4 linked regions of the Tamandua tetradactyla genome follow. The protein of the gene in region 3 interacts with the protein of the main gene of each other region in a biochemical or structural test. Links are inferred from orthologs where the notes say so. Each region holds a gene or a part of one and is shown on either strand. Other genes may lie near its edges. The genes, in order: GTF2E1, CDK9, GTF2F1 and GTF2B.

What was found.
Region 1: the proteins of GTF2F1 (region 3) and GTF2E1 form a complex in vitro, tested with the Homo sapiens proteins (3 studies listed by BioGRID). The link is inferred for Tamandua tetradactyla from reciprocal best matches to the Homo sapiens genes GTF2F1 and GTF2E1.
Region 2: the proteins of GTF2F1 (region 3) and CDK9 form a complex in vitro, tested with the Homo sapiens proteins (2 studies listed by BioGRID, with this or other methods). The link is inferred for Tamandua tetradactyla from reciprocal best matches to the Homo sapiens genes GTF2F1 and CDK9.
Region 4: the proteins of GTF2F1 (region 3) and GTF2B form a complex in vitro, tested with the Homo sapiens proteins (3 studies listed by BioGRID and IntAct). The link is inferred for Tamandua tetradactyla from reciprocal best matches to the Homo sapiens genes GTF2F1 and GTF2B.

The regions. Positions count from the first base shown.
Region 1 is NC_135336.1:25,108,746-25,116,066, forward strand, and holds the start of GTF2E1 (general transcription factor IIE subunit 1), read right to left. Parts: upstream 3,023-7,321; 5' UTR 2,892-3,022; intron 2,886-2,891; exon of another isoform or gene 1,940-2,885; intron 1-1,939. Other genes in the region: RABL3 (rab-like protein 3), read left to right, coding at 3,142-3,187.
Region 2 is NC_135328.1:50,628,507-50,635,424, forward strand, and holds the start of CDK9 (cyclin-dependent kinase 9), read left to right. Parts: upstream 1-3,913; 5' UTR 3,914-4,029; coding exon 4,030-4,121; intron 4,122-4,580; coding exon 4,581-4,662; intron 4,663-5,375; coding exon 5,376-5,466; intron 5,467-5,835; coding exon 5,836-6,002; intron 6,003-6,126; coding exon 6,127-6,298; intron 6,299-6,422; coding exon 6,423-6,571; intron 6,572-6,918. UniProt on the Homo sapiens protein: Protein kinase involved in the regulation of transcription.
Region 3 is NC_135337.1:75,642,538-75,649,729, forward strand, and holds the start of GTF2F1 (general transcription factor IIF subunit 1), read left to right. Parts: upstream 1-4,233; intron 4,234-4,317; 5' UTR 4,318-4,377; coding exon 4,378-4,472; intron 4,473-4,823; coding exon 4,824-4,896; intron 4,897-7,192. UniProt on the Homo sapiens protein: TFIIF is a general transcription initiation factor that binds to RNA polymerase II and helps to recruit it to the initiation complex in collaboration with TFIIB. It promotes transcription elongation.
Region 4 is NC_135337.1:35,873,668-35,881,190, reverse strand, and holds the start of GTF2B (transcription initiation factor IIB), read right to left. Parts: upstream 3,001-7,523; 5' UTR 2,879-3,000; coding exon 2,862-2,878; exon of another isoform or gene 2,405-2,861; intron 1-2,404. UniProt on the Homo sapiens protein: General transcription factor that plays a role in transcription initiation by RNA polymerase II (Pol II). Involved in the pre-initiation complex (PIC) formation and Pol II recruitment at promoter DNA.

The sequences.
Region 1 (7,321 bases), on a different chromosome or scaffold from region 3:
TAATGTACACAGAAGTCACTGACCACTGACAAACTGGGCACCAGGCTATTATATATCCCTCCGATGCACGTTCTGCATAGGGAAGTCCCAGTGTCACTTACCAGCCTGTTTTCTTTGCCTGATACACTTGAGGGGCCTCTGAAGATTTAAACATGGATGTGACATAAACACTCTGTAATCCAACAATAGTGGATTTTGAATTTGAGTTCTACTTCCTACCCCTATGCCCTGGAAAATTCCCAAACTCAGTTTCCTCATATAAAAAGTGATTAAAAGTGCCTTCCTCACAGGGTTGACGTATGGATTAAATGAAATAATTCAAGGAAAATTCTCTTTCAGGGTTGGCACCATAATACAGTACAACTAAGTACTGCCATTTATAAGATTTTTAAAAGTGACTCTTGATTGTATGGTGTGTGAATATATCTCAGTAAAACTGCATTAAAAAAAACAATAAAGAAAAGGAGGAGAAAAACTAATGGAGGAAATTATCACTGAAAATTTCCCAACTCTTATGAAAGACTTAAAATTACAGATCCAAGAAGCGCAGCATACCCCAAAGAGAATAGATCCAATGGACATACTCCAAGACATTTACTAATCAGAATGTCAGAGGTCAAAGAGAAAGAGAGAATCTTGAAAGCAGCAAGAGAAAAGCAATCCATCACATACAAGGGAAGCCCAGTAAGACTATGCGCAGATCTCTTAGCAGAAACCATGGAGGCAAGAAGACAGTGGGATGATATATTTAAATTATTAAAAGAGAAAAACTGCCAACCAAGAATTCTATATCCAGCAAAACTGTCCTTTAAAAAATGAGGGAGAAATTAAAAAAAACAATAAAGTATAAATAAAAAGAAAAAAGTGACTCAACAATATGAGGAACGGTCTATAGTGAGTGAAAATGGAGAAAATGCGGGAGTATTAGCAACTACAGCAATCAAGTCAAAACTAAGGAAAACAAAAATGGGAGGAGAAAAAAAATAAAACCAAAAATTCCAAGAAAAGGACAGGATGAATGAAACAATACAGAAACAAAACTGAAAGGAACTAACAATATATTGAAAATGGGGTATTAGAGTAGGAAAAATTTAAAAATAGCTATTTGTCTTCGGCTATTATATTAAGGTTGATATATAAATATTATCTGAGAAATAGGTAATACCAGAAAAGTAGGTTTGGAAGCAGTGTGCACTCAGATGTTTATCTTTGAGGAAATACCACTAGAAAGATGCACAGCAGAGAGCTGTACAAAAGAAATGAACCAGGAAAGAAGTCAGTGCTGTGCTACTGTGTTCAAAATCTCCGTATTCTGAAATTCTTCTTCTGACCAATGACTTCCCTACTCCACCATTTCTACTTACCCACTCCTGCTGAATCTCCCACTCAATCTCTGGATATTTAAAGTAACTTAAAACAGAGGTCTCAAGTGGTAACCTATACACATATTGTTTGACCTAAAAAAAGTCTTGAAAAATTTCTGTAGTTACCAACATTTAAAAATTGTGAAATTTCACACGTTTCAACTTCCAGCTTCTCTTGAAAATTGAAAATATCTGAGAAAAAAAAAGACCACATCCCCACATGCAAATAAGCACCTGAAGGTGACCGCAGTTGGCACGTTTAGACAGGTTAGAAGCTTGGCTGGCCTTCTGAGTGTGTGACTTCTGAGTTTTTTCTTTTTATTCAAAATACCTGCCAGCCTCATCCCTAACCAGCCTAAACACCCAAACACAGGCTGGGCTACCATTTACCCACATGTATTCCAATCACAAAAACATTTAGGGACTACTGTTCACCAGCATAGAGCTAAAGAAACAAATTTGAAATGAATGCATTCTCTGCCCTCTATTTACCCTTGTCAGCCTAGCCTCAGCCACACTGACAATCTTTCAATTTCATGAGCCAAACAGGTTTTCTCCCACTTCAGTCATTGTACCTGCTATTCAATCTGTCCCAAGAGCTAAGTCCAAATCTCCTTCTTCTGATTATCCTTCAAATCTCAAATGACATTTCCTGTGAGAGGCCTTCCCAGATTTCTCTTGTTAGATTAGAATCATCTTCTTTAAGTCGCTCCTATGGCTCTTTTCCTTTCTTTAGAGTAGAGTTCTACTTTCTCCATCTCTCTCCCCACCCTTAAAACATTATTTTGTGAGCAAAGGCTTTATCTTGTTTACCAATGAATTCCCAGATCCAGCACAGTTAGTAAAGTATTACCATAAACTTTCAATAGATAACCTAGGCACGTGTTCTTCCAACAAGCCCACTCTTGCTCCTCCCCAACTCATTTATTCCATTCCTGCTTCCAGAAAAGAAAGGCTGTTGCCTTTTATTAAACTTCAAATGGTTTTAACAAGAAGGTGAAAGAACCAAATTCGCGATTTTAAAAAATTATGCTCCCTGCAAAGTGGAGTATAAAAGGAAAAAAGAGAGGATGAGAGGAATCTAGGTTACTTCGGTAAAGTATTCCAGTTCTAGAATTTCTTGGATTCTATAAACCTAACTGCTGTTTTCATAATTACCATATTTCATAGCACTCTCCACGCCTTCCCATGTTTCGCGGCAAACATCCGGACCCAGCTGCCCTCCCTAGCCCGGTCCAAAAATGTTCATTCCTCCCCACTACGAGACCCAGAGCCCCCAAACTCCCTTGGATTCTCCCAGCTGAAACCAGTAACCAAACCCAGCGCAGCCAAACCCAACCAAAACGCGGTCGCACAAGGGCTGCTCCGAGGTTAATGGTTCTTTGAAGGACCAAAAAGAGGTCCAGGTTAGAAGTGTAGGTAAAGGGCAGAGGGTGGTTAAGGAGAGAGGAGTGAAAAGGAGGAGAAAGCCTAAAATGCGACCCCGAGCCAGGGAACCTGGAACAAGGAATTGGGAACAAGGTTTACCGAAGCGAACGCTCGAACACTCCCACTACAGCTTCCTTCAGCGCCTCAACTACCGGCTTAAACGAGCTACGACACTTATGCGCCAACGTCAACGCGTTATTCCTGCGACAAGCCTTGGAAACCACCTCCCTACATTCACCTGCAGTCACGCTTTGGCCGGCCAATGAAATCGAAGGCTCTGCCCTTCAGGCCGGCTCTAATTGGCCTAGCGTCCTATAACTGACGTTGACCCCGGGAAGGTGGTGGCAAGATGGCTTCCTTGGATCGTGTGAAGGTGCTGGTGTTGGGGGACTCAGGTGAGTGGCTCAACCCGCTTCTGGGGCGCCCGACATTGTTAAGTTATCAGATAATATCCTCCCTTTACTGCTTGTCCCCCAGCTTAATTGTCTCTTTGGCCCGTGGCTGAAGTCTTTTCCAACGTCTAAAAACTACACTTCCCAGAGGACTTTGCTGCATTGACTAGACGGCGGCGGCGCGGGGGTTAGGTGCGCAGAACCCGGGCCCTGCTCCGCCTTCACCGCGTTTCACTCAGACGGAGATGTATTATCAGTTCTTTTGTCTTAGAAGATAGCACCGAGCTAGGGATACAGATGTTAGTAGGACCGCGCCTTGAAGAGACTTTGTTCTTTAAGGAAGTCAAACGTCCGCTAAGAATGGCACTGTTCCAAGCACTTTACATATATTAACTTATTTAATCTTGAAATCGGCGCCGTTACCCTACAGGTGATGAAAGTGAGGCCGAGAGATTGTGAAAAGCCAGTTTGAACCCCGGAATCCGCTCTCATTTGAAAACCTAACTTTATAAAATAGGTGGTCCTGTTTTGTTTTCACTTGAGCTTCTTGATTTTCTTTCTCGTTTAAACTTCATTGAAACTTACGCACACGGTTGTGAGAAATAGAGAAATGAAGGTAAGACTCATATTCTGGAGCAGCTAATAATTAATGCTGAGCCCAACGGAATCCTAGTATTAAAATTCTTCTTTGACACCTTGAAATTTTGATAACTAGAGTTGAAATCTGCATCCCCCCTTTAATATCTTGCTCACGTTCTCCCCACAGTAATACCCAATCCCAAACTCTTTAAGAACCCGAAATAAATGTTAATTTAGTGGATGTGCTTTTCTTGAATTGACCCTTGAGTGTGTGCACTGAGCAGACACTGTGCTGGATTCTTGGAGGTGGACAGAACTCACTTCAGAGAGTTTGAAAACTAGCTTACAAAAACTATATCAAATTGGGAGATGGGGAGTTGTTTTCACGTTGTCTGAAGATTTTTGAATTACGAAGTATTTCACGGAAAGCATTAATTTAATAGGCCCCTAAGAAATGTATTATGAAATTCCATGAGCAAAAACCAACCATGTCAGCTCTAGTTCTTGTCATGGAGCTTGAAATGGTGCTGAAGTTAATTTAATCAGATTGCTTAGTTTTGCAGATGAAGAAAATAAGGTATGGAGCAAGAGACTTGGCAAGAGACCAAATCGGATTTAGGCCTGGAATCCAGAGCACTTGGTAGCACTTCTTCATGTTATGGAACATGGTTATCTCTCACCTATTTTTCCCTTTATATTATATCTAACAATCTTTCATGTTACATACTGTTGGAACTAGTAGATTTATTCTTTCCCTCCCCTCCCTTCCCCCCAAATGCTTGAGTGCCTACTGCTTACCAGGCACTGCATTAGGTGCTGCATTAGGTGCTGAGGAATCAGCAAATTCCGTAACAGGGGTAGAATTATCTGCTGCATAAAATATGGAAAAGTAATCAGGCAATTAGTAAACATTTCTTTCTTTCATAGTTGAGTAAGTAAGACAGAAGACACAGCCTTACACACCAGGGAAATGATTACTCTTGTCACACATTCACTAATGTTATACTGCATGTACTAAGTCAGTTATTGCCTTTTTGTCAGTTCCCTTTTAGGAACAATTTACTATCTGGCAGGTTAGAATATACTTTTTACACTACATTTGCCTTTGTATTTAAACTTCAAAATTTACTTTTGAATAAAGGATTATTCTCCCAATGGAATTTTGAGAATTTCACAAGTATATAAAGGAAAGACTTGAGATTTAGAGACTTACTTTTTTCCCCAGAGAAGTATTTGATAATTTCCTGAAAGTTTCACCAACACGTACAGAATTTTCTCTTTGTTCTTTCAGATATTAGGAATAGGCTTAATATATTACAGCTACATTTGGAGCTGGCATTTAATTATATTGCTTCCCCCTTCCCAAGAAACCAAATGTATTCTTTTAATCTAATTTGGCTTTAATGGTGATAACATGGAATCAGAACCTATCCACCCCCCAGATTCTTAAAAAAATGAAGTTAGCCACTATTCTGAGCACTTCACCTGTGCTTACTGTTCAGAATTTCATCCAGTGATAGCTAAGACTTTCTTCCCAAAGCAGTTAATTAATGGAGAGCTGAACAGTATTACTGAGTAGAGACATTTTCTCTTATACAGCAAAATGAAAAGCTCAAGCCCTGTATCAGATTAACCAAGTGCCCAGATAAATGGGTCCAACATTAACAAATTAGCAATATACCCTAATGGTTACAAATACAGTTGCAATGTAATAAATACAACGGCAAAGCTAAGTTTGAATATTCAAAAATCTTAAATATTTGTATGTAATAAAATTAAAATAATAAAAAAGAAACCTAAGGAAATGACTCAAATACACGAGATGAAATTAATACCTTTAATATATAAAGAGGTCATATAAACTGATAAGAACGTGGGCAGAACACATCAGATAGTTCATAAACAGGAAAAGGTAATTGATTAGCAAAGATGAACGAAATATTATCTTGCCAGAAAGTAAAAAAAAAAAAAGCAGATTAAAACAAGAGGTCTCTTTTTACTTACCAGTTAACAAAGGTAAAAATGCAACTATATGATACTATTGAGATGTAACAAGATCTACTGCCTCATATGTGGCTGGTAGCCATGTAACCAGATGAAAGCTGTTTGTACTATATATATCAAGAAAACTTTATATGTTCATTTCTTTTTACTCATTATATTAAGCACATTTTTCTACTTTTAAACAAAAGTTTAAACAGCAATAAAAGCTTTTTTTAGGATATTGAGAAGTTAAAAAGACCCTAAGTATCTAATAATGGGGGAATGGGTAAGTGAATTGTTATGTCTAGTCTCTGAAATACTATGGAGACATTAAAACTATTTTTAAGGATTCTGTAAAAATATGGGAAATTTTACTCACTCATAATTACTAATTTAGGCACAGTACTGGACACTAAAAATTGAGTAGCATCCAGCCCCAGCCCTCAAAAGAGTTTAGAATTAAACAGGATGGGAGTAATGAAAATGTTCTAAGATTGATCATAGGGATATATGCACGACTGTGTGGTAATACTATGAGCCAGTTGTTGTAAACTTTAGATCGTTTGTATGGTGTGTGAATGTATCTGTGCTGGTTTGAAATTGTTGAGTACACCAGAAAAGCCATGTCCTTTAATCCTGATTCAGTGTTGTGGGGTGAAAACTTTGATTGATCCATGGAGATTGACACACCCAATTATGGGTGTGACCTTTTGATTAGATGAAGGTGTGAAGCTCCCCATTCAAGGTGGGTCTTGATTAGTTTACTAGAGTCCTTTAAAAGGGAGACCATTTTGGAGAAAGCTCAAGTGCCTGGAGAAAGTTGCTTGAGAGCCATCAGGAGATGCAGATGTTTGGAGATGCAGAAAGAAAACTCCTCCAGGGAAGCTTTTTGAAACCAGAAGCCAAAGGACCAGCAGACACCAGCCACATACCTTCCCAGCTGACAGATGTGTTCCAGACCCATAGACCTTTCTTTTTTTTTCTACATGGTCAGGCACTGGGGATTGACTTGAACCCAGGTCTCCAGCATGGCAGGCGAGAACTCTGCCTGCTGAGCCACGTGGCCTGCCTGCCATAGGCCTTTCTTGACAAGGTATCTCTCCCTGGATGTCCTAGTTTGGGCATTTTTATGGCCTTAGAACTATAAACTTTTAACTTAATACATTCCCTTTTTAAAAGCCATTCTATTCCTGATATATTGCTTTCTGGCAGCTTTAACAAACTACAGCAATATTTCAATAAAATTGTATTTAAAAATAAATAAGGGGCGGGCCACAGTGGCTCACTGAGCAGGTAGAGTTCTCGCCTGCCATGCCGGAGACCCACATTCGATTCCCGGTGCCTGCCTATGCATAAATAAATAAATAAATGCACAGATAAACATGATTTCAAATGCAAAAAAATTGAACAGGGTGAATAAAACTATAAACAAACATTAGCATGTATTTTTTTAATTAGAGAACTTGTATGTTCACAAAACAATTATGCATAAATACAGGATCCCCATATACCACACCAGCCCCAACACCTCCCTTTGGTTTGGAACATTTGTTACAATTGATGATAGCATTTTTT
Region 2 (6,918 bases), on a different chromosome or scaffold from region 3:
CCACCCGAATGCTGCTCTTGTTGCCACTGGTTCAATCTTTTGCCTCCTTCCAGTACCTCTAAGGCCATCTTTAGCTACAGTGCCCCCAAGAACCTGCTCTGGTTCCTGTCCCTCACTCCTGCCACCTCTTCCCCAGTCTATGACCCAATAGCCTGTAGCTTGGCCAGGGACAATTAGGGATTGGAGGCCTTAAATGTTATAATCAAAGGTACTGGACTGAGGCAAACCTAAGTTCAGTCCCCACCTTGGTGACCTTGGGCAAGTTATGTCACCGTTCTGAGCCACTTTTTCCCATCATTAAAATGGAGCAAATATGATGTTTCTCGTATGACCGTGAAATAAAACATTTATACCAAGATCATCATCCTTATTACATCCACGTGTGTCTTTATTTGCATGTTCCAAACAGACCTTAAGCTCCCTGAGAGAGGAATGGGTCTTACCCATACTTATTGGCCCCATGCCTGCTAAACTGTAGGTGCTCAATAGATGCTTTTCCCTGGGTTGACCCCATTGACTGGTAATGGGGGCAATGTAGGATGATGGTTAATCACTCTAGGCTTTGAGAGAAAAGACATCTGGCTTTGGATTCCAGCTCAATTGCTTCCTAGCTGTGTGTCCTTGGGCAGGTCATTTCACATCTCTGAGCCTGTTTCTTCTTATATAACCTGGCCTTGATTATCATACCTCCTAAGAGGGGTGCTATAAAGTTTCAGGAGGGTGATGCCTGTCAATACAGGGCCAGGCAGAGTTAGTTCCCAGCCAGTAAGGGCAAAACTTCCATGGTTTGACAAGACCGTGGGCATCACACAGATGTTTTCTCTCCTCTATCCCCCTCCCCAGAGATCCTTTGTCTTTCTGGATGTGCCAGATGCAAAGAGCAACCTACCCAAAGAATCTGTCTTCTCCTTCCCCTCCACATGCCCATTACCCATCCCTGCTCAGGGGTGGGAAAAGGGTTCAGGCTAGGGTCAAACAGCTGAGCAGTGACTCTCTTCCTGCTTAATGTGTCAGTTTCCCTAACTATAAAATGGGTAGCAGGACCAGAGTTCCCAGGGCCTGATCAGACAGTCACTCAGCAGACATTTACTGACTACCAGTCACGTGCCCCACTTTGCCTGCTTAGTGAATACCTGGGATACAGGAAACACTTTCCTCAGACCAGCAAAATTGAAATCAAAGTCTAGAAATTGTTTCTTGCTAATTTCTTCTCACCTTCACTTGGGTTTTGGCAGCTCTGGTGATGTCTGGCCCCAAGCCCGGGCAGCCTTCTGAAGGGCTCCCAATGCCCTGCCTGCCTTCCTTCTCCAGGCAGGGCCCACAGCCTGAGGGAAGTGACTGGCAGATGTGAAAGTTCAGGTCACAGATGGTGGAGTAGAGGTGACAACACCACCGGAACCTCTGCTGAGGCTTCTGCCCACAGGATGTGACTTATGGGATTGCTCGTGTGAAAGAGACAGCAGGTCCCAGCCTGAGGGCCTGATGGTGGAGGCCACATAGACCCATGACAGACCTCATAGTATTGCTACTATGTCCTCACACACCTCCCATCCAGCATCCAGTCCACATCCCTAGTTCTGCCCCCAGCCCAGAAGGGCAGACCATGACATGGGCAAGAGCTTGGCTTTATGCCAACCTGGCTCAAATGCCAGCTAGGCCACTGGCCAGCTATTTGACCCTGGCCAGGTGACATCACCTCTGAGTCTCAGTGTCCTTATGTGTACACCAGGCTGGATAATAGTAGGTACCTCATAAGATTCAGGGAGAATTGAGATAATTCCCTTAAGTATAGGGCTTAGCACATTTATTTTTCCTCAATAAATGGTAATTACTATAACTATTATCTTCCTCTCTGCCCTCTTGCACCTGATTTGGCCAAGGGTCTCCCTGCTTCTAACAGTGTGCCCAAGAAGCTGACCCCAGCTCACTTCTTATCAAAAATTCTCACCAGCTCCACGTTACCCTCAGGAGAGGACACCCGGCTCCTCAGCCTGACTCTCAAGGCTCTCCCTGGCAGGGATCTGCGCAGAACAGGCCTCTTGGGACACCACGATCACCAAACCCGTTCCTGCCTTTTCTCATGAGAAGGCCTCAAGGCCAGGCAGTGAGGGGTAAAACCTATGAAGCCGCCCTGCAGGCCTCCTGTAGGCAGAAAGGTTACTTTTGGGGGAGAGAGGTCAGGGGAGCACAGCCCTGAAGCCAGGAAGCTTGGGGAATTAGTAGAGAAACCCATAAGGACACAGCCTGGGATTGTAAACTGGAAAGAGCTTTAAATGTCACAGTCAGGATTTTCTTGAGACAGTTGGAGGGCTTGAGGAAGGTGGGAAATATATACAGACTCTGCTTTAGAATAATCTGGCAGGTGCTGTGAGGGGGACAGATGAGGAGTCTGGGGTGGCCAGGACTCCCGATCCCTTATAGAGGGCCGGAGCCCAGAGGGCAGATTGAAGAGGTGCAAGGAGTTAGAAAAGACAGCTTTGCTGGGGGCTGGTCGTTGGGTAGATCTGGAGGAGGAATCCAGAGGCTCATGGAACCAGAGAGATATGAGGGAGGTGCTGAAGAAGGCATGGGTAGGATGGGAAAGGGGGAGAGGGCACAGGGCCCATGAGGGAGATGGTAAGTGAATAGCCGGCTTGGTGCCTGGCAGACTGTAAATACTGCGAGCTGCAAGAAACTTCTTCAGTTTCAGAAAGCCCAGGTTCGAGTCCCAGCTTTGTATGACCATTGGCAAATAATCTCTTCTCTTAGAGCCTAAATGGCCACTGAAAACCGGGTTTGTAATACTGACTAACTAGGGGTTGTTGTCAGGATTCGGCGGAGTCCCCAGCACTTCTCCAGCACACAGGTGTGCTCAGTAATGTTAGCTATCTTTGTGATTACTGTCCTTTGCCCAACTGGCTCTGACGCAGCAGGGCGGAGTGGTAGTTCCTTGGGGTCTCATTCTTGCCGCCCAGAGAACAGGGATCCAGGGCCGAAGGCCCGGCTGTTGCTCGCTCACCGCCTCCAGTGTCACCGCGCCCCCTAGCGGCCATCGGTTGCCATGTCAACGGCGGGTGGAGGAGGCCTGGGGAGGCCGCGGAGTGGGCTGGTCTCTCCTCCCAGGGCCGGAGGCCGCTCCTTTGACGCGTCTCGCCTTCGCCTCTAGGGGGGCACCCCGAGCTGTGGAGGAAAGGGTTCCCCGAAGCAGCTAGTAAGGGGCGGGGGTAAACTGAGTCAGGCGGAGGGGCGCCCCACAGCCAGGTGTCGGGCGCGGGGGGCCCACCTCCAAAGACGGGGGCGGGGCCGCGGGCGGTGACGCGCCGAGGGCGGCCGGCGGACAGCGGGAGGCGACAGCGGCAGCAGCGGCAGGTGCGGCCGCGGAAGGTGGGAGGGAGGAGGGAGGAGGCGGGAGGAGGGGGAGGGGAGGGCGAGGCCCGGGCACCTCCCCCTTTATAACGCGCCCCTTCCCGGGCTCTCCGGCCGCCTCCTCGTCGGCTCTTCCCGACTCGACCCCTCGCCCGGCTGTCCTGGGCCGGAGCCTGGCCAGGAAGCCCCCAGGCCGCGGCTCGGGGGCCGCTCCCCCGCCCGCCGCCCCGCGCAGCCTGGCGGAGGCGGCGCCGGCGGAGGAGGAGGAGCAGGGCACTGCGGCTGGCCCCGGATCGGGCGCCAGAGAGGCAGCAGCTTCGACAGCAGCGGCGGTCCGAGCCGATGCAGCGGGACGCACCGCCCCGAGCCCCAGCCTCGGCGCCCCGGCTCCCCGCACCCCCGATCGGAGCTGCCGCCGGCACTGGCGGCGGCGGAGGCGGGGGCAGTGGCGGCGGCGGAGGCGCCGCTGCAGCTCCGGCTCCCCCTCGTCTCCCGGGAACTACAAGTCCCAGGGGGCCTGGCGGCGGGCGGCGGGCGGAAGAGGCGGGGTCGGCGCCGCGAGGCCGGAAGTGGCCGTGGAGGCGGAAGTGGCGCGGCCGCGGAGGGGCCTGGAGCACGGCAGCGGGACCTGGGACGGGAGTGGCGGCGTCTACTGGAGGCGGTGGCGGTGCGCTGGAGGCGGCCATGGCAAAGCACTACGATTCGGTGGAGTGCCCGTTTTGTGATGAAGTGTCCAAATATGAGAAGCTCGCCAAGATCGGTCAAGGCACCTTTGGGTAAGACTCGGCCCGGGGAGACCGGGGGCTGCATGCTTCAGGGCCGACGCCGGGGGCCCGGGGTCGGGCCCGAAGTGGTTGGGAAGCCGCCGAGCCCCGGGCTTGTCCCCTTATCTCCCAAGGCCGCACTGCATCCCACCCGGACCTGACGGAGCCTTCTGGCGGGGAGGAGCCTGAGGCTTCTGGTGGGGTACGGGAAAGGGTTGCAGAGAGAAGCCCCTGGGGGAAGAGGGACTTCTCCCAGATAGATGCCTGAGTGAGGAGGAGGAATTGAGGGAAGGAAGCGGAGAAGATCGGAGAAGGACCATAGATACTAGGTAGTGGGGTGGCCAACTGCCCCGTATACTCCGCCCTGCCCGGGAGTATCTCTTATCCTGCCCCTCTTCCTCTAGTGGGGGAGGGGCGGACCCAGCGGAAGCGGCCTGATGAGCTCTCTTGGGTCCCCCTCTCGGCCTGCAGGGAAGTGTTTAAGGCCCGGCATCGCAAGACTGGCGATAAGGTGGCCCTGAAGAAGGTGCTGATGGAGAACGAGAAGGAGGGGGTGAGTACAGGTTGGGTGGGCAGGCCTACCAGCTCCACTGGACATGGGGACCCACTTTTCCTAGGAGTCTCATGTTGAAATTCAGTTGGCATCTAGTAATTTGGGAATTGCCACATTCCAGAGAACTTGGCCTTCAAACTAGGTATTTTAATTAGAATGTTTTGAAGCGTTTGACATTTTATTTGTTAACACGGTTGGGGTCGGGAAGGGGAGCTTTTAACACTTTTCTCTTTAGTGTGTAGTTTTGGTTAATGTAAAAAACATCCACGTGGCTTTGAAAAGTTGAATTCTACTCAAGAGAACATATTGAAGAGGATTAACGCCCTGTATCACTCCCTCTTAGTCTAGTTCCCCAGAGATTAATTTTGTAGCCATGGAATTTTTTAATAGTTATTTTTGTTGTTTTTGCTACCACAAAGCAAGTTAAACACAAGCATAGAGCTAAAGTTGGAAGGCAGAAAGGAATTAAGGAGCATTTAGTGACTTGGTAAAGTGTGCTAAATATCTGTTTCAGTTAATTGTCTGGAATCAGTGTACATACTACTGTTATACTTATTTTATCCATAGGGGGTCTGAGGCAGTTGATTTCAGAGCCCATGTTCTTACTTCTTTCCCAGCCTCTGTTCCTTAGAACAGATTCTAGAGGCAGTTCCTTGGTCTGCACCCCCTCACCCACTTTTGACCCCTTATTGTCCTCCCCTTCTCCCCACCAGTTTCCTATCACAGCTTTAAGGGAAATCAAGATCCTCCAGCTTCTAAAACATGAGAATGTCGTCAACTTGATTGAGATTTGTCGAACCAAAGGTAAGTTGTTTGGATCTTATTCCCTATTTTCAGATGGTAACAAATGAGGTTTATAGCATGAACTTTGTTTACATAGCTGGAACTGGACATACCAAATGGCCTCTGTTTAACCCAGACGTAGTAGTGATGACTGCTTTCTCTGGTCCTCTCTCATTGTAGCTGATGCTTTCCCAGGGCTTGCCACAGCACCCAGCCCAGAGGAGGCACTCAGAAAATAGTGAAGGAACAAGCAAACGGATGCTTGAGGGCATGGGTGGTCCATAAGTTGAAGAGGGGTAGGAGCTGACCATGGGAAAGTGGGTTGAATGTGGGATTTTTTATTCTTTTCTTCTCCCTGCCCCCCCCCCCCCTTCATTTTTGCTGTTCCAGCTTCCCCCTATAACCGTTGCAAAGGCAGTATATACTTGGTGTTTGACTTCTGTGAGCATGACCTTGCTGGGCTGTTGAGTAACGTCTTAGTCAAGTTCACACTGTCTGAGATCAAGAAGGTCATGCAGATGCTACTCAATGGTCTCTACTACATCCACAGAAACAAGGTGGGCACCAAAGTGGGGGAGGAGTTACTAAGACTTGGGTTGGCCTTTGTGCCCACTGCTGGATGGGTGTGGTCAAAGGACTCCAAGGAACCTGGCTGAGCCCTCACTCCATCCCTTCCCACAGATCCTGCACAGGGACATGAAGGCAGCTAATGTGCTCATCACCCGTGATGGAGTCCTGAAGCTAGCAGACTTTGGACTGGCTCGGGCCTTTAGTCTGGCCAAGAACAGCCAGCCCAACCGCTATACGAATCGTGTGGTGACACTCTGGTACCGGCCCCCAGAGCTATTGCTCGGTGAGGACCCCTACATGGCCCCAGCCCCACACTGCCAGGGCTTCCTGAGCCATTAGCCCCAAGGCATTGCATCTCAGGAAGCCCTTGGGCTCAAGGGGCCCTCCTGGTGCGCTCTTCTTCCCAGGAGAGCGAGACTACGGCCCCCCCATTGACCTCTGGGGTGCTGGGTGCATCATGGCGGAGATGTGGACCCGCAGCCCTATCATGCAGGGCAACACGGAGCAGCACCAGCTCGCCCTGATCAGCCAACTCTGTGGCTCCATCACCCCTGAGGTGTGTGCGCAAGTTGCCCGGGCCCCTGATCCCCACAGGATGCAGAGACCCAGAAGTCTCCCTGGCTGGGGAGGAGTGGGGGAACGGAATATCAGAAAGCTCCTCCCAGGAGAGTTGCCCAGCAGAGAAAGGGCCTCCTCTTTAGTGCCCCACAGCCTGTGTGCAAGTCTTGGTTCTCTCACCATGTAGTTCTGTGGCTTTGGGTAAGGCATTTGAACTGTCATCTCAGAGTTGATTTTCTCTTCTCTGGAACAGAAGTCACGCTTGTATCAGGGTTGATACGCACATTCAACGTTGGGTATAAAGGGCTTGGCACTTGGTGTGTGCTTAATACACTGTTGCCACTG
Region 3 (7,192 bases):
GCATGTAATTGGGAACTGGACTGCTTGGGCTTCCATTCCGCCTTCACAAACACTTAGACTGTGTGACCCTGGACACGGTCCGAGATCCTCTTGTGGAAAGGCAGTATGGGGACTAGAGCCATCCCTGACGGTGACAATTCAGCCATGCCAAGCGTAGAGAACAGTGCCGGCCCAGCCAGCACTCAAGACGCGTCCCCGTCCCTGTTGCCAGGGGGACGCATTGCCAAGTCAGCCGGCTTTTTTTCAAGAAATGTGATCTGAGATCTCCCAGTTTCTGAAGGTTCACTAAGAATTCAAGAACAAGGCTGTCTAGTCCCAAATGGATGCATCTGTGGATCAAATGGGTAGGTTGTAGGTTCTGTCTAGACTCTGCAGCCACTGTGGGGTCCATGCAGCTGGCAATTATGATGGGAAACCTATTTAAGGCCAGAACTTGGCCCTGAGGCCATGGAGGGCAGAAAATGGCTCAGCCAGCCCTGTGCTCTCCTGGAGTCTCCATCCAGGAGGGAGGGAGCCCAAGATCTGCCCTTTAACTTCATCACAAGTCGTCTGGTGTAACTGCTTGAATGGAGACAGGGACACAGGGCAGCACCCCACTGCTCTGTGACCTTTGATTGCATCAACACATCCAGACCACTTTGAAGGGAATTTAACCAGAATCGACACCCGCTGTAGTTTCCCTCTTCCTGCTACCCATTTCCAAATGGAATCAGAACAATCCCAGATGCTCCTGCCCTCAGCCTCCCCGTTCAGAGGCTCAGATGGATCCTTTCATGGAGTCAGTGTCCACAGGTAAAATTAACCTGAAGAAATCCACTCCAATGTCCTCTGTCCCTTCCCTTCCCCGCCTCTGCCTGGGTCGCTATTCCACCACCTCTGGGGCTGCTTCCAACTCCATCCCTCCACTCCTGGGCACCCCCCAGACCACCTAAACTTAGAGAGCCCACTCCCATCCCTCCAGGATTCATTCTGCTTTCTGTTCCCCACTGCCCTCATCCCTTCCAGAAGTTTCTTTGTTTTGTTTTGCACGTATTGCTGGGCGCCTGATGTCCCCACTGGAATGGCAGCATCTTAAAAGCAGGGCCCATGTTCCTCCTCTTGGCCTTTGTCCCCAGGCCCGAGGACAGCACCTGTTCTCAAGAACTATTTGGGAATGGGTGGTTGAATAGATGAAGGAGTGGTGATTTACATCCCATCCTGTGCCCTAAAGATGATACAAACTCAGTGGGGAACTATTTTATCTACTGGGTTCCAGGAGCTCTGGAGGAAAACAGTGAGAGGCCCTCAGAGAGCTCACTCAGGTTCTAGAAACTTCCCCACAACCTGACTGTCCCTTGATAACACATTTCCCTTCGGTCTCCTCTGCCGAGTCTCACTCTGTTGCCCTCGGCTTGCCCTCACACACACATACACGTGCTTTTGGGGTCACTCACAATGCACTCAAACTCCTTGGCCTGCTGCAGTTCCCGAAGGAAGCCATCAATGAGGAAGCCCTGGCTGTCCGGGCAGGACAGCAAGTTGTCGCTGACCATGTCCAGGATGATGCCCTGCGAAGGAAGCAGGTGGATCTGGTGTTTGGGGTGGGGCAGGGGGGCCCTTCCCTGCACCCACCACCCTGGGAGAACTTTTTTTATATGATCACTTTGATGGGGTGACACCTACCCTGCCCAGTGGCCTCTGAAACCCACTTCTGAGGATGGGCACCCCCCCCACACTGTTGACTGGGTGGGTGTCAGTCCAGGTGTGCTGGGTCCCATATGATTGAAATAACAATATCTCGAGGTGGGTCCTGGTGTTACAGAGGGGGTCCGGGGTCCACCCAAGGCCACAGAGGGAATAAGGCCCAGATGATTTTATGGAAAGCTTCCTAAGTGCCAGGAACTTCTGCTCAGTGCTTCAGAGGAGTGACCCACGCCTTCGGACATGGGTCCAGTCGGTCAAACCTGTCTCCCAGATGAGGAAACGGAGGCTCAAGGCAGGCCAAGCAAGGGCTGGGAGCCACGGCCACCTGGGAGGTCTGCCTGGTGCACCCCCTCCTGCCCTGACCCTTGCCCATGAGCTCTCACCGTGGGCACCAAGAGCCCCTGCAACATGATGTCACGGATCTGCCGGCCCCGCTGAGTGCCCCGCTGCGCCTCCTGCCGCAGCAGCTGGCCCAGCCCCACGTGGCAGAAGCTATATCTGTTTGCCATATTCTTGCACTGCGTCCCTTTGCCACAGCCGGGGCCGCCCATGAAGAAGACGATGAGGGGGTCTTGAGGACACCTGTGGTGCCCAAGGAAGAGGGAGGAAGACGATTTGGGGTCTGATGGGCTGGTGAGCACCAGTGTAGCTGTGTTCACAGTTAGGGCGTGCTCTTGGGTGGCAGTGCACACAGGTCTCCTGGCATACCCTCTTTTGCCCTAGGATGGCCTCTGGGGTCCCTGGACATATCCAGGAGTATACCCAGGCACGTTATGAGTTGCTACTGCCATGGGCGGCTGTCCACGAGCAAATGAACTCGAGCAGGCCAAGCTCTTCACAGCATCTCCTTGAATCAGCCCACCAGCTCTATCATCGCATTTCACAGTTGAGGAAACTGAGGCTTGTAGAGGAGCAGGGACTCTCCCATGTCCCCAGACTCATTCCATCCTCCCCTGCCCCATCCCAGTGCCCATTTTTCTGTTCCTTTGAACATGCTGAACTCATTCCTCCCCAGGGACCTCCACCTGGAACACTGCTCCAGCTCCTTCAGGCCACACATCAGCCCAATCCTCCCCCTCTCATCCCCAGTCTCAGGACACCATTTCCTCCACAGCAGAGACCATGGCCACTAATTATTTTGCCCATTTACTTGTTCTTGTTTGTCTCCCCAGCCGGACTCTGTCCTCCATGGAGGCAAGGACTCTTTCTGTCTCGCTTATCCCTATATTTCGAGCGCTTGGCACAGTTCCTGATATATAGTCATCAGAGAGGAATAAAGTAATGCCCAAGGCTACCAGGCACATCTACGGAGCCTGTAGTTTACAGTTGCATTTTTGTGTCTTGCTCCCCTCTCCCTTTGCTTGGTAACTCTTCTGCATCCCTCGGGGCCCAGCTGAAACCTCCCATCTCTCCTGAGCAGGGAGTTGGTTTTGCTCAGTCCCCCAAACAGCGCAGCACACAGTCGGAGCAGGTGGACCAACGAATGAATGGCTGCGTGGTGAGCATGCGCGGTCGGCGGAGGCGGGGAGACCGCGCATCTGCACTTCCCTCCTCAGTTCCCTTCCCCTGCCCCCAGAAAGCTAACCACCCCAGCTGTTACCCTTCTCCTGGGGCCTCAGGGTCCTGCCCATTTTGGGCAGCTTGGACTTGCACAGACCCATCCCGTCAGCCGCCAGAGGGGTGGTCGCTACCCATCCCTACCCAGGGCCTGACCCCTCCTGGCTAGGCTCGACGTCACAAGGGCTCCCTGGTCCGACCATCTTCCGGGATGAGGGGGTTCCCCGGGGGCAGGAGGAGGAAATGAACCCCAAACAAGCCCTGGTGGAGCCGCAGTGGCTCTGCGGGATGAGTAGGCCTCGGCTGCTATGGTAACAAGGATTCGATGGATTCACTTCCGGAGATGACGCGTGCGCAAGGCGCCTGGGACTCAGCGAGGAGGGAGACCCCCTTTCCCTACCCAGAATGCCCCGCGGCCATTAAGGGGTGACGTCGATGGGGAGGGCGTTCCCAGCCGCAGTGATTGAATCAGTCGCGCCTCTTTCTATATATAGATAGTGGAAAACCAGAGCGCGAGCGGCAGAAGGTGCTGCATTGAGTTCAACTCGGTCTAGAAAGAGAAGGGATAAGTGTCAGCAAGTGTAGGGGCCCGCGAACCAGGAGGCGGTTGCCATCGCGACACGGGGCCACGGAAAGTTTCGCTTCCAGGTCAGGCGGCGGCGCAGGCGCAGACGGGCGGGAGTGGGCCGGCGGCGCTGAGGACTTGGGGTCTTCTGTCAGCGACCGCTTCCCGCGACTAAGAGGACTGCTTCCCCGAAGGCTGAAGGACGCGAACCTCGGGGGAGGCAAGAAGGAGGAGGCCCCGACAACTTGACTGGGTCGGACGGCACCCGGACCACTGACTGTTCCCATGGCGGCCTTAGTAAGTATGCGGCGGCTTTAGGGAGTCCCGACCCGGGTCTCTTAGCAGCCCGCCCGCTCGTCATCCCACTTCCTCTCTCCACAGGGCCCCAGCAGCCAGAATGTCACTGAGTATGTCGTCCGAGTTCCTAAGTAAGTCCCAACCCCACATCCCATCTGCCTCCAGACGGGAATTACGACCTCTACGAGCTTCTAGGCGTGTCTGATTCCTTTTAGATCGGGAGCCTTTGAGGGCAGGTTGAACTGAGGTCTCTCCAGGGGCTTCTGTTGTTTTGAATGAATAAGCGGGCGATCATCACTGCACAGCATGATTCAGGCTCCTGGCCTAGCATTGGAGGCCTGTATGCTTCTCTATTCCCCGCATTCTTGCTGTAAGGACATATTTTTATCCTTTCTCCACTGGTCTGGCTTTCATTCATGTCCAGGACCTCCAGGAAGCACTCCCTGCTTGCCTCCAGCTCTGCCCCCTCCCTTGCTCACCCTACTCTCCAGAGCCAAATTCCCCCAGGTCTTTGTCCTTATTTCTGCTGTACTTTTGCCTGTGGTTGGGAGAGTGTGGATCTGGCTTCCTTGACAGACTGGAAAACCCTTAAGTCTTTTATGAGTCCCTAGCATTGCCCTGCCCAGAGGGTCAGCCCAGAAGGGTTTGTTGAATGAACAAATGTATGAATGAATGAACACTGCCTTTTTTTTTTTTTTTTTTTTTTTTTTGCCCACTCAAGAAACACAACCAAAAGGTATAATATCATGGCCTTTAATGCAGCTGATAAAGTCAACTTTGCTACTTGGAATCAGGTAAGTCCTTTGTTTGGGGGTGGGAGTAGGTGGATGAGGGAATGAGAGAACCTGATTCTAATAGCTTGGAAAGGAAGGCTGTCCTGGAGTGGAAATAAAGTGATGACTAAGGCCCAGGCAGAGCTGCTGGATGTCCGCTTAGGGGATTTGGCAGACCCTTCAGAAAGCCTTCTTCAAGGAGAATGTTTAGGAGTCATGCCCACTAATGGGCATTTTGGGCCCAGATTGTCAGGGCCAGGAAGGGACTCTGCTCTGGGCTGCCTCCTACACGTGGCTCCAGAGCCCCCTGCAGGAGAGCTTCTAGAAATGACCTTGGAAGCCATGAAAGGGTTTTTCAAACAGGCAAGTCACAGAGTTATCTAGCTGCTGGGGCTAGGGAGGCAGCACTGCGTCTGGTGAGCAAGGCTGGGAGAAAATGGAGGTGATGAGCAGTGGTTGGACTCTGATATGTTTCGGAAATAGAGCCTACAGGGTTTATTGATGGATTGCGTATTGGCCAGTGAGGGAAAGTGAGGAATCACAGATGTTTCCATTTACTAAGATAGAGAAACCTGGAGAAAGTGCAGTTTGGATGGAATATTCCAGAACTCCATTCTGGAAATTTGTATTTGTTAGATACCAAAGAGAAGATGAGAAGTTAAGCAAGCAGTTGGATATATGAGTTGGAGTTTGGGTGTGAGTGGGAGTCGGGGTGTTTAGGGTGCCACCGAGACTGGGCAGTTGAGCAGGGAGTTGGTGGAAGGTTTATAGCATTGGCAGCTTCAGGCCCTCCCACAGTTGGGCAGCTCTGATTGCATATATTGTGAGCATGGTTCTCTTTCAGCTGTTTTCAAATATTGTTTCATCCAATTGAAATAATGAAACTATATGTTCAAGATGGCTCTGAGTGATTGATTGCCCTAGAGAGCGTGTTCCAGAGAGATATGCCGTGCCTGCATCCCGGGATCTCTAGCTACAGATCTCTAGCTACCTACTTACGTACAAACTAACAAGGTCAAACTAACATGCTTTCCACCCCCTACCTGGTCCATTCCCCCCATCCCAGCCTAGTCTGTCATCTGATACAGTGTTTCTAAATCCCTTATCACTGGGGGAGGGGGGCTTCTGCACTAATCATCCAGGAGAGAGATGTAGGGGCACCCTTCTCCCAAATCCCTAATCACCAAGAGGAAGTCCTCACTGGTTACCTGGGAACATTACCCTTAGTCCTTCATCAACCAGAGGGCTGCCCTTCCCTACCCCCATCCCCGAGCACCTAGAGAACTTTACACCTTTGGAGGAGCTGTGCTCCTAAACACCAGTCACTTTGAGGAGGTGCTACCCCAACACTGATCTTTCAGGGACAGCACTTGAGAAGTCAGCATTATGCAAGGTGCATGACCTCCCGACCACTAGAAACTCGGGGTTCTGCGTACCCCATTCATTGATCGCCATGGAGAAGCATGCCCCCACCACTGATTGCCCTGGAGGACTCCTTGTTTCTAATCTGGGAGATGAGGCACCACCACCCCCCCCCCAAAATCTAATCATTCCATTGCCGAGGGTACTGCTTCTAAAGAAATATCATTGTTCAGGGTACCCTCCTCTAAAAAAACTAATGAGGAGTGGGCAAAACTGCACCCCTTGGAAGAAACCAATCTCCTGGAGTAGATGCCCCCTTAATCACTGTTTTAGTTTGCTAAAACTGCCAAAGGCAATGTACCAGAAATGAGTTCGGTTTTACAATGGGGATTTATTAATTTACAAGTTTAAAGTATGAAAATGTCCAAATCATGATGTTTTCTCCCCATTGACTGATGATCCTCAGTTCCTCTGTCACATGGCGAGGCATGTGGCTGGCATCTGCTGGCCCTTCTTTTTCAGGTTTCCTTGCTTTCAGTTACTGTCTGCTCAGACTGTGGCTTTCTTTCTGAGTTTCTGTGTGCTTCTCTTTTAGCTTCTGTCCCTCTTAGCTTGTGTCTGATTCTGAATGTCATTTCTTATGTAGGACTCCAGTAAGAAGTTTTCAGACCCACTTGGGGCATACCTCAACTAAAATAACCTACTCACAAGGCCCCCACCTGCAATAGGTCTACACCCATGGAAATAAATTAGCTTTAAAAACGTGATCTTTTCTGGGATATGTACCATCACATTCACTCATCACCCCAAGAATGGGGTGGTTACAGCTCTCCAAATGCTGTCAGCCACAAGGGACAGCCCCTTTCCTGACACTTAACCACCCCCAGGCAACACTGGGGTAGAAACTACCCCCAGACACATTCATTCAGCAATAGTTCCTTGAAACTGTCTTCTA
Region 4 (7,523 bases), about 40 Mb from region 3:
AAAACTATGGAGAAATAAAGCAAAAATGTTAGAATAACAATAATTATAAAATGAGAATGGGCAGTCATGTGGAACATAACTAACAAAGGACTGATCTAGCAATAATTCTGCACCATTAAAAAGTAGATAGATTATCTTAGTAGTATTTATATGACTCTGTATAATGATATGAAAACATGTTTCTCAAAAATAGGCTAAGCAAAAAAAGTAAAGTTGAAATTCTATACAAGAACTGCAGTTACATGTAATAACATGGATGACTCAAAATGCTGATGAAAAGAATACATTTTTGATTTATGAAAACTTTAAAGCAGGCCAAGTAAATCTATGGTATTAGAAGTCAGAAGATGGTTACCTATGGGAAGGGGTAATAATTGAAGACAGAAGAGAGGTTTCTGGGGTGCCAGGGGAATTTGATTTCTTGTTCTGGATGGCAGCTATGTGCATGAGTTCACTGTGCAATAACTGAGCTGTGCACTTAAAATTTATGTGCTAACTTCAATAAAGACAGAAGCAAGGTTATGAACACTGGTTATATTAGGCCACTTTCTGGTGGAAAGGAGGCAAGAACATATATAAATGTTTTTAAAAGAACAGTATCTCAAGGCAAACACCAAGCAGTTGGAAACAAAGGCTGTTTTGGAGAACTGGATGGATGTAGTAGGGGAGGGAAACTGCTTCTCAGTATATATTCTTTCCTACTTTGGATTTGTGCTAGCTATCCAAAATAAAATGAAACTATGCTAAAGTAGTCAACTTTTAATCAAATTATCCACAAGAGTAACATAAAAGAGGAACCACACTCTAGTGGGAGTGGTGGAGGAAGTAAGGAACAGAAACACTAGGAAAGGAACGGAGAACACCAACACCATGTACATTAAAATAGTGTAGACTACCTAAAGTGTCAGTTAATCCTAAACCTCATTTTACAATTATCATTTACGGGGTGTCTACTATGTGTCTAGTGCAATACATATATTATTACTAATCTTCACAATCCTGCAAAATAGGCATTCATCACCATTTTAGATTATGCTCAGGAATTATGTACCCAAAGTTATCAAAATAATAAGCAGTAAAGCTTAGATCTGAACTAAATTTGTGCTCTTCTCTATGAGAACTACAGGCAATTTCACAACTCAGAGGTTGTATTTCATCCTCAGGGAAAAAAAAACTAAAAGAAAATATATTAACAGTGACCTTTCTTTGTTCTTATTGGTAAAAGAAAAACTTGAGAGATGTCTAAGTGCAAAAGCACATAAATTCAAGAGCTGCAGATTATCTAGTAAAAATTTATTTCAAATTTTTGGATTTTTAAAAACAAATTAAGAAAATAAAGACACAAAAGTAATGTACTGTTTAGGCAAAAAATCAATCAAGTGAATTTACAATGATCTAAACTGTTTAAAAACTGCAACACTTTTTACAAATAAAATTTCTTGTTCTAATATATTTTATGCAAAAGCAAGGCCCAAATATGACATTCACTCCCAAAATTTACTACCATGAAAATATAAGTTGTATTTGGCTGACTCTGGGAAACTAAAGTTTTCCATATACCCACGAGGAAGGGAAGTGTGTTTTCTGGCCTTACCCGACAAAACCACACCCAGACTGAATGATTGAGCACTCAATCGTTGAATTTGAATCAGTAAACAAGTGTGTCATTAGTCTTAAGAGTTATTTCTAAACAGACTATTAACTAAAGCTGCTCCTTTTAAAATTTTTTTTTTAATTCCGCAATATAAAATGGTAAGTCTTGGCAGTTACCAGAAAGGGTTTAGACTCACTCAGCTTACTATTTTTTGAGCAATAGTTTCTACTCGGAGCTCAATTCCATAGATAATAATAGTCAGAATAATTAAAGAAGAATGCCTTCCACCGTGCTGCAGAAATTTGATACTCTTAATACATTTTGAGTTAACTAGATGCCCGATGTGTGATAACAAGAAAACAGGTATCTGAGGTTCTACTAGCTGTTCTAACACTAACCTTAAAAAAAGTCAACATTGGCATGACTCAGTTTACACTTATGCAAAAATACTAGTATTTACCTCATAGGGGTAATGAAAGATATAATTAGGGTCTGCATGCATTTTTTAGGTCACAAGATTAAAGGCTGCTTCTCAAGGGCACTGCATGCATTTTTACTAGATACGGGAATATTACACTTAACAAATATCTGTAAAGAGTGACTTCCCAGCATAATGTAAGTAATTGCCTGCAGGCAAGATTTTCTTCAGGAGTATCCAGAAGGCGATATCTGTAAAGAAATCTTTTGGATGAGAACTCATTAACTATTAAAAAATGCCCTGTCGTCCACTTCGGAGCGCCGCTGGGATGGTAAGCAGTTTCCATTCGGTTACCAAAGCTGACGTTCTCAACTCTCAAACTGTCAGATCGAGAGACCTGGAACTACCCTTTTCCCGCTCTTTGGAAAGAAAGACTCTCTGGACACTTAGGCTGGTTGGGCCTTGGGTGGAAAAACAAACGTGGAGAAAAATGACAAGAAGGAAAAAAAACAAATACAAACGGTTGAAATACAGGCAAGAGGAGGGGCCGGCGGCTGAAAACACCCAGGCCCACACCAGGTAGTGCCTGAATTAAGAAAACGACCGTACAAAAGAAAGTCTGGGAAGACCCAGGACGCTGAGACTGTAATGCCGACAACCCGGAACCCCCTGCGACACCCCTGACAGTCTTGTCGTCTGGACCTTTGTCCGGGTCCGCCAGCCAGTTCCGCCGCGTCTCCCCGGATCTCCCAGGTCGCTTCGCACGACGCTGCCGTAGGGGACCGCCTACGCATCCCTGGAGTTCGCCGCCCGCCCCTTAGCTGGCCGGCCTCGGCCGGACATACTAACCGGCTGGTAGACGCCATCTTCACGGCCACCACGGCTCCAGGAACAACAACAACCGAACAGAGAACAGGAAGAGATTGTGGCGAGAAGACGCGAGGAGTCAGGCTTTTATAGGCGAGTCACTTACGCAGTCGTAACTGGGCGCGGCTACGGGTCGGGAGAAAGGCCAAGAATATAAGCTCCCATACGCCACGTGCTTTGAGCTTTTTAAATGTTCTCTTCTGTTTCTGAATTGTACTTTGTTGATGGGCGAGTTAATAAAACTGTCTAGGGAAACGTCCTTGAAAAACGGCTGCCCCAGAGCTACCCTCAACGGATGTTAAAACATGAAGAAAACCCCGACGTCATTGTGAGAACAAAGCCCATACCATCGAGGGTTAACCGCTCCTCGGGAGTCAGTTACTCCAGTTTGAGTAAACTTCTTGCTTGCCTTGAGGGCTGATTCTTTTTCACAAAGGAATTTGGAGTGAAAAGAGAAATTCACGTAGATCGGCTGTCCATTCTGGCTGTGCTGTCGGCTAACATGCTGTGCTTTCTTAGGCACGTCCCTTGCCCCATCAGTGCAAGGGGTAATAATATCCGCCTTGCATACCCTTTTAGAGTTGGCAGGACATTAAACAAAAGCACGTGAGAACATTCTGCAGAGCATGAGGGGAGGATATATGGACTCTTCCCTGATCGTTTTTCATGGTCTTTAAAAAATTTGGCTCATAGCTGAAGTATGGAGAACTTGGTACACCTTCTAGATAACACAGAGGGTTCCTATATTTACTAATTAGCCAAACTAAAGTCTGAATACCAGTTTGCTGGGAACGCACCACCCTGGTTCCTCTGGTGATTGGAGGAGAGAGGATGCTATGTGGTTTCTGTTGGGAAAAGGACTTAGAATATAGTAACCGCCTTATTCATTTGGGGATGAGACTTAAATGCCACTGAATACTCCTTGTTTTCTTGAGAAGGTGGGAGAAACTTCCTTAGGAAAAAAGAAGTGTAGGGTGGGGGCAGTTTAGGAACTGAAATCTAGACGGGGATGGGGGAGCATGATTTCTTTTGTTCCAGTTTTCCATTCTGTAATTTAAAAACATGACTGACTCGTGAGGTTTTGTTTTTTTCTTCCATAGTGATTGAGAAAGTTTTAAAAATGTCAATCCATTTCAGCTGAGCCAAGCACCACCAGGAAAGGGTTTGAAGGTGTTCTCCAATTCGGTAAGGAGTTTTCACGGTAGAGTAGCTTGGCTCTGGAGAAAAGGAGAGAGACAAAGGGAAGGAGGGTGGCTAGACTTCCTCTTGAGAATCACGAATATACTAGCCCCGAGCGAATTCATGATAAGCTTTCAGTAAATGTTAGTTAAAGGATAAAACTACTAGAGAAATTGAAGCCCCAGAAGAGGGAGACAAGGAAATGGATTAGTTTAGTTAACTGCCCCACCTAGAAAGTCTCTTCCCTGTCGTAACCGTGTAAAAATTTATGTTTTATATTAATGTTGAAGGCAATAGGCAAGCCTTTCCTTTTCTGTTGTTAGTACAGCATTGGCAAATTATAAAGTATTTTCATCAACAGTATCCCGTTTAATTTTTATAACTGATTCTGAGATTAAAAATAAAAATAGCAACACAATTTGAGTTTTATCACCTAGGCATCAATAAGGTTGACTAATAATATGCTAATAATTCTATTTAAATTAATTCCTCTTTTTAAACTTAAAATATTTTTGAAGACAAAGTTTATATCACTATAATGAAATAGCAACTTGATGCACTAGTTATAGTTTTTCTAAAATATAAAATGCTTTACACTCCTAATAAAAGATTTTAAAAAGTCCGTGGACCAAGGTGAACTTATCTTTAAAAAAAAGGTTGATTGAATTCACCCATTCTAAGTATACAATTCAATGATTTTTAGTAATTTTACTGAGTGGGTGCAACAAGCACTACAATCCAGTTTTAGAACATTTCCATCACCCAAATGAGATCCTTCATGCCCAGTTATTTCCCATTTCGCTCTCCAGCCCCAGGAACCACTAATCTATAGTGGTTCTGTCTCTATAGATTTGCCTTGTCTGGACTTTTCATGTAAATGGAATTTGGGAGATGGAAAATGCTCAGGCAGTTCAGAGAGGTGAAACTGAGAGAGTTTAGAGAAAAAGTCCCCAGAAGAGCTGAGTCAAAAACTAAAAGTAACAAAACCCAGGACAGACGGACCAGCAGACGCCGGCCATGTGCCTTCCCGTGTGACAGAGGTGTCCCAGATGCCTCTATTGTTGGATTTCAGACTAAGAACAAAAGGAACTCCATGCAGAGCTCCCTCAGCCTCCTCCTCAGAGTCCTTGGCAGGTCCAAGGACCCAGATATGAACCAATTGCCATAGTAGCTAATATGGTATCCTCTAGATGGCACTGCTACCACCCTCCCTGCCAGCATCTCACCCTGCCTAATACATGAACCTGCATATCAAAGGAGAATACTTCAGCAATCTATCATACCCTAAGTCAACAAGCCCCCATCCACTTAAGGGACAACACACCACCAAGTGGGCACCCTCCCCTCCTGGCATCACTGTCCCTTTAAAACACAGCTCCCAGAACAAAGACTCTGAGCCATTTTCTTTTTCTCTCTTCCTGCTGGCTCCCCAGGAGGGAGCCAATTTCAGGCTCCTACCTGCTTTCTTCTTTTCACTCTCCCACCTGTTTCCTCCCTATTTTATTCCTTCAATAAATCTGACTTGCTGTCTCATATGGAATCCTTAAGGACTCTATGCCTAACATCTGTCTCTACAGAGTTCTCTACAGAGAAGCTATTGTCCTGTTGATTGCTTAATTTGGACATTTTCACGGCCTTAGAACTGTAAAATTTATGCTAATAACCCCCCATTGTAAAAGCCAACCCATTTCTGGTATCTTGCATTCCAGCAACTTTAGCAAACCCAAACCTGAGGTCATATGTATTCCTTCTAAAAACCTGAGGGATTTAAAAAAAAAAATTTTAAACAAGAATGAAAATGTTCTAACACATTCAAAGTTAAAGAGGATAATACAATGACTACCCATATATCCATCATCCAGATTAATCAATTATCAAGATTTTGCTACTTTAGTTTCATGTATCTCTTCCTCTTATTTTTTCCTTTTTACCAACATATCTTAAAACAAATCCCAGACATTAATTCAACCCATACAGAGTTTAGTGTGTATTTCTTTAAAAAGATGGTCTTTTAAACATTTTCCAGATAGCAATATAATACTCATGAAATTACCTATGATATCTTGACATAGTGAGTTTTTAGGTGGCTATTGTCCTAGGCCTAATTCCTGGTGACTTGGTTTCACCAGGCGGGATAGTATGGTCCTGCTGGAGCTGAGACAGTGCAGGCTCGAGTAGCAATGAGCTCTGGAAGCCAAGTTTCACGCTCTCAGTGCAGACACCCCTGCCTTTCCCCACAGAGGTGCTGATTTTGTAAGATCCAGAGGCAAAGAGATTGGGAAGGCAGCAGAACATCACAGAAACTGGAGATCAACTTTAACTGCTCATTTTTCAGAAGTTGGCTTTATTATTTCTGAATCTATTTTTTTCTTTTTCCTTTTTCCCAAACAGAAGAAATCTCTAGCATGTAGGTTTTGCAATTTCCATGGCTTTATTCTGAAAAATAGAAGAGTGCCTCACACTCCTAACCCTCTGTGCACTGTGCCTGCACCTCACATTCATGATCTTATTGGCTCCTTAGTTATCTTGCCAGGCAAGTATTATTATTCTTCCTCTGAAAACTTAGAAAGATTGAGTGGGCAAATTGTCCAGGGTCACCCAGTAAGGCAGTGGTATAGTAAAATTTCAAGTAAGGAATGACTGATTCTAAAATGTTCCTGCTTCCATGCATGCATATTATATAACTGTTATTTGTAAAACTATATTTTTTAGGTCTAAATTATTGTGCCCTGGGATGTGCAGACTACTTTTGTAGAAGTGATTACTAGCCTTTTGATTCTTTAATAAGGGCTATAAAGCCTTATTTAAATTCTGGTAGTAGCAGTAGGAGTAGTAATAAACATAATCAGGATATTAATTGCAGCAAACACATTTGGTACTTATTTTGTGCCAGATACTATTTTAAGGCTCTGCATACATTAACTCATTTAATAGTTGTATACTATTATTATCCCCATTTTATGATGGGGAAATTGAGGCACAGAATGGTTAAGCAGCTACCTGAAGTCACACAACTAGTAAAAGGCAGAGCTGGATTTGAACACAGCAATTTGGGTCCATAATCCATACAATATGCCTCATAATTGTAGCTCAATATATGGAAATTCCAATTTAAAGACTTTAAAATTGGGGAAATGGGTTCAATAAACAGTATACCCGCAGCAATCATGTGGACTTGATTTTATGGGCTAGCTGTGATCTAAAATATTTTGGACAGCTGTCCACACAAGGACATTTGTGTTTGTCAGCCCATGTGCTACTTAAACTGAAATGTTCCTGGCTCATATCCCATTGATAAATGTATTTGCATATGTGATCTTGAACTTAACTTTTCCATTTGCTTATTTATTGATATGTTTGAAATCTTTGGCTCCCAGAATTGATGGCTTGTCTGCTATTTGAGTACAGATAGAACTTTTCATTGGGGAAAATCAGCAACTTCTCAAAGTGCTAAGAAGCTGAATG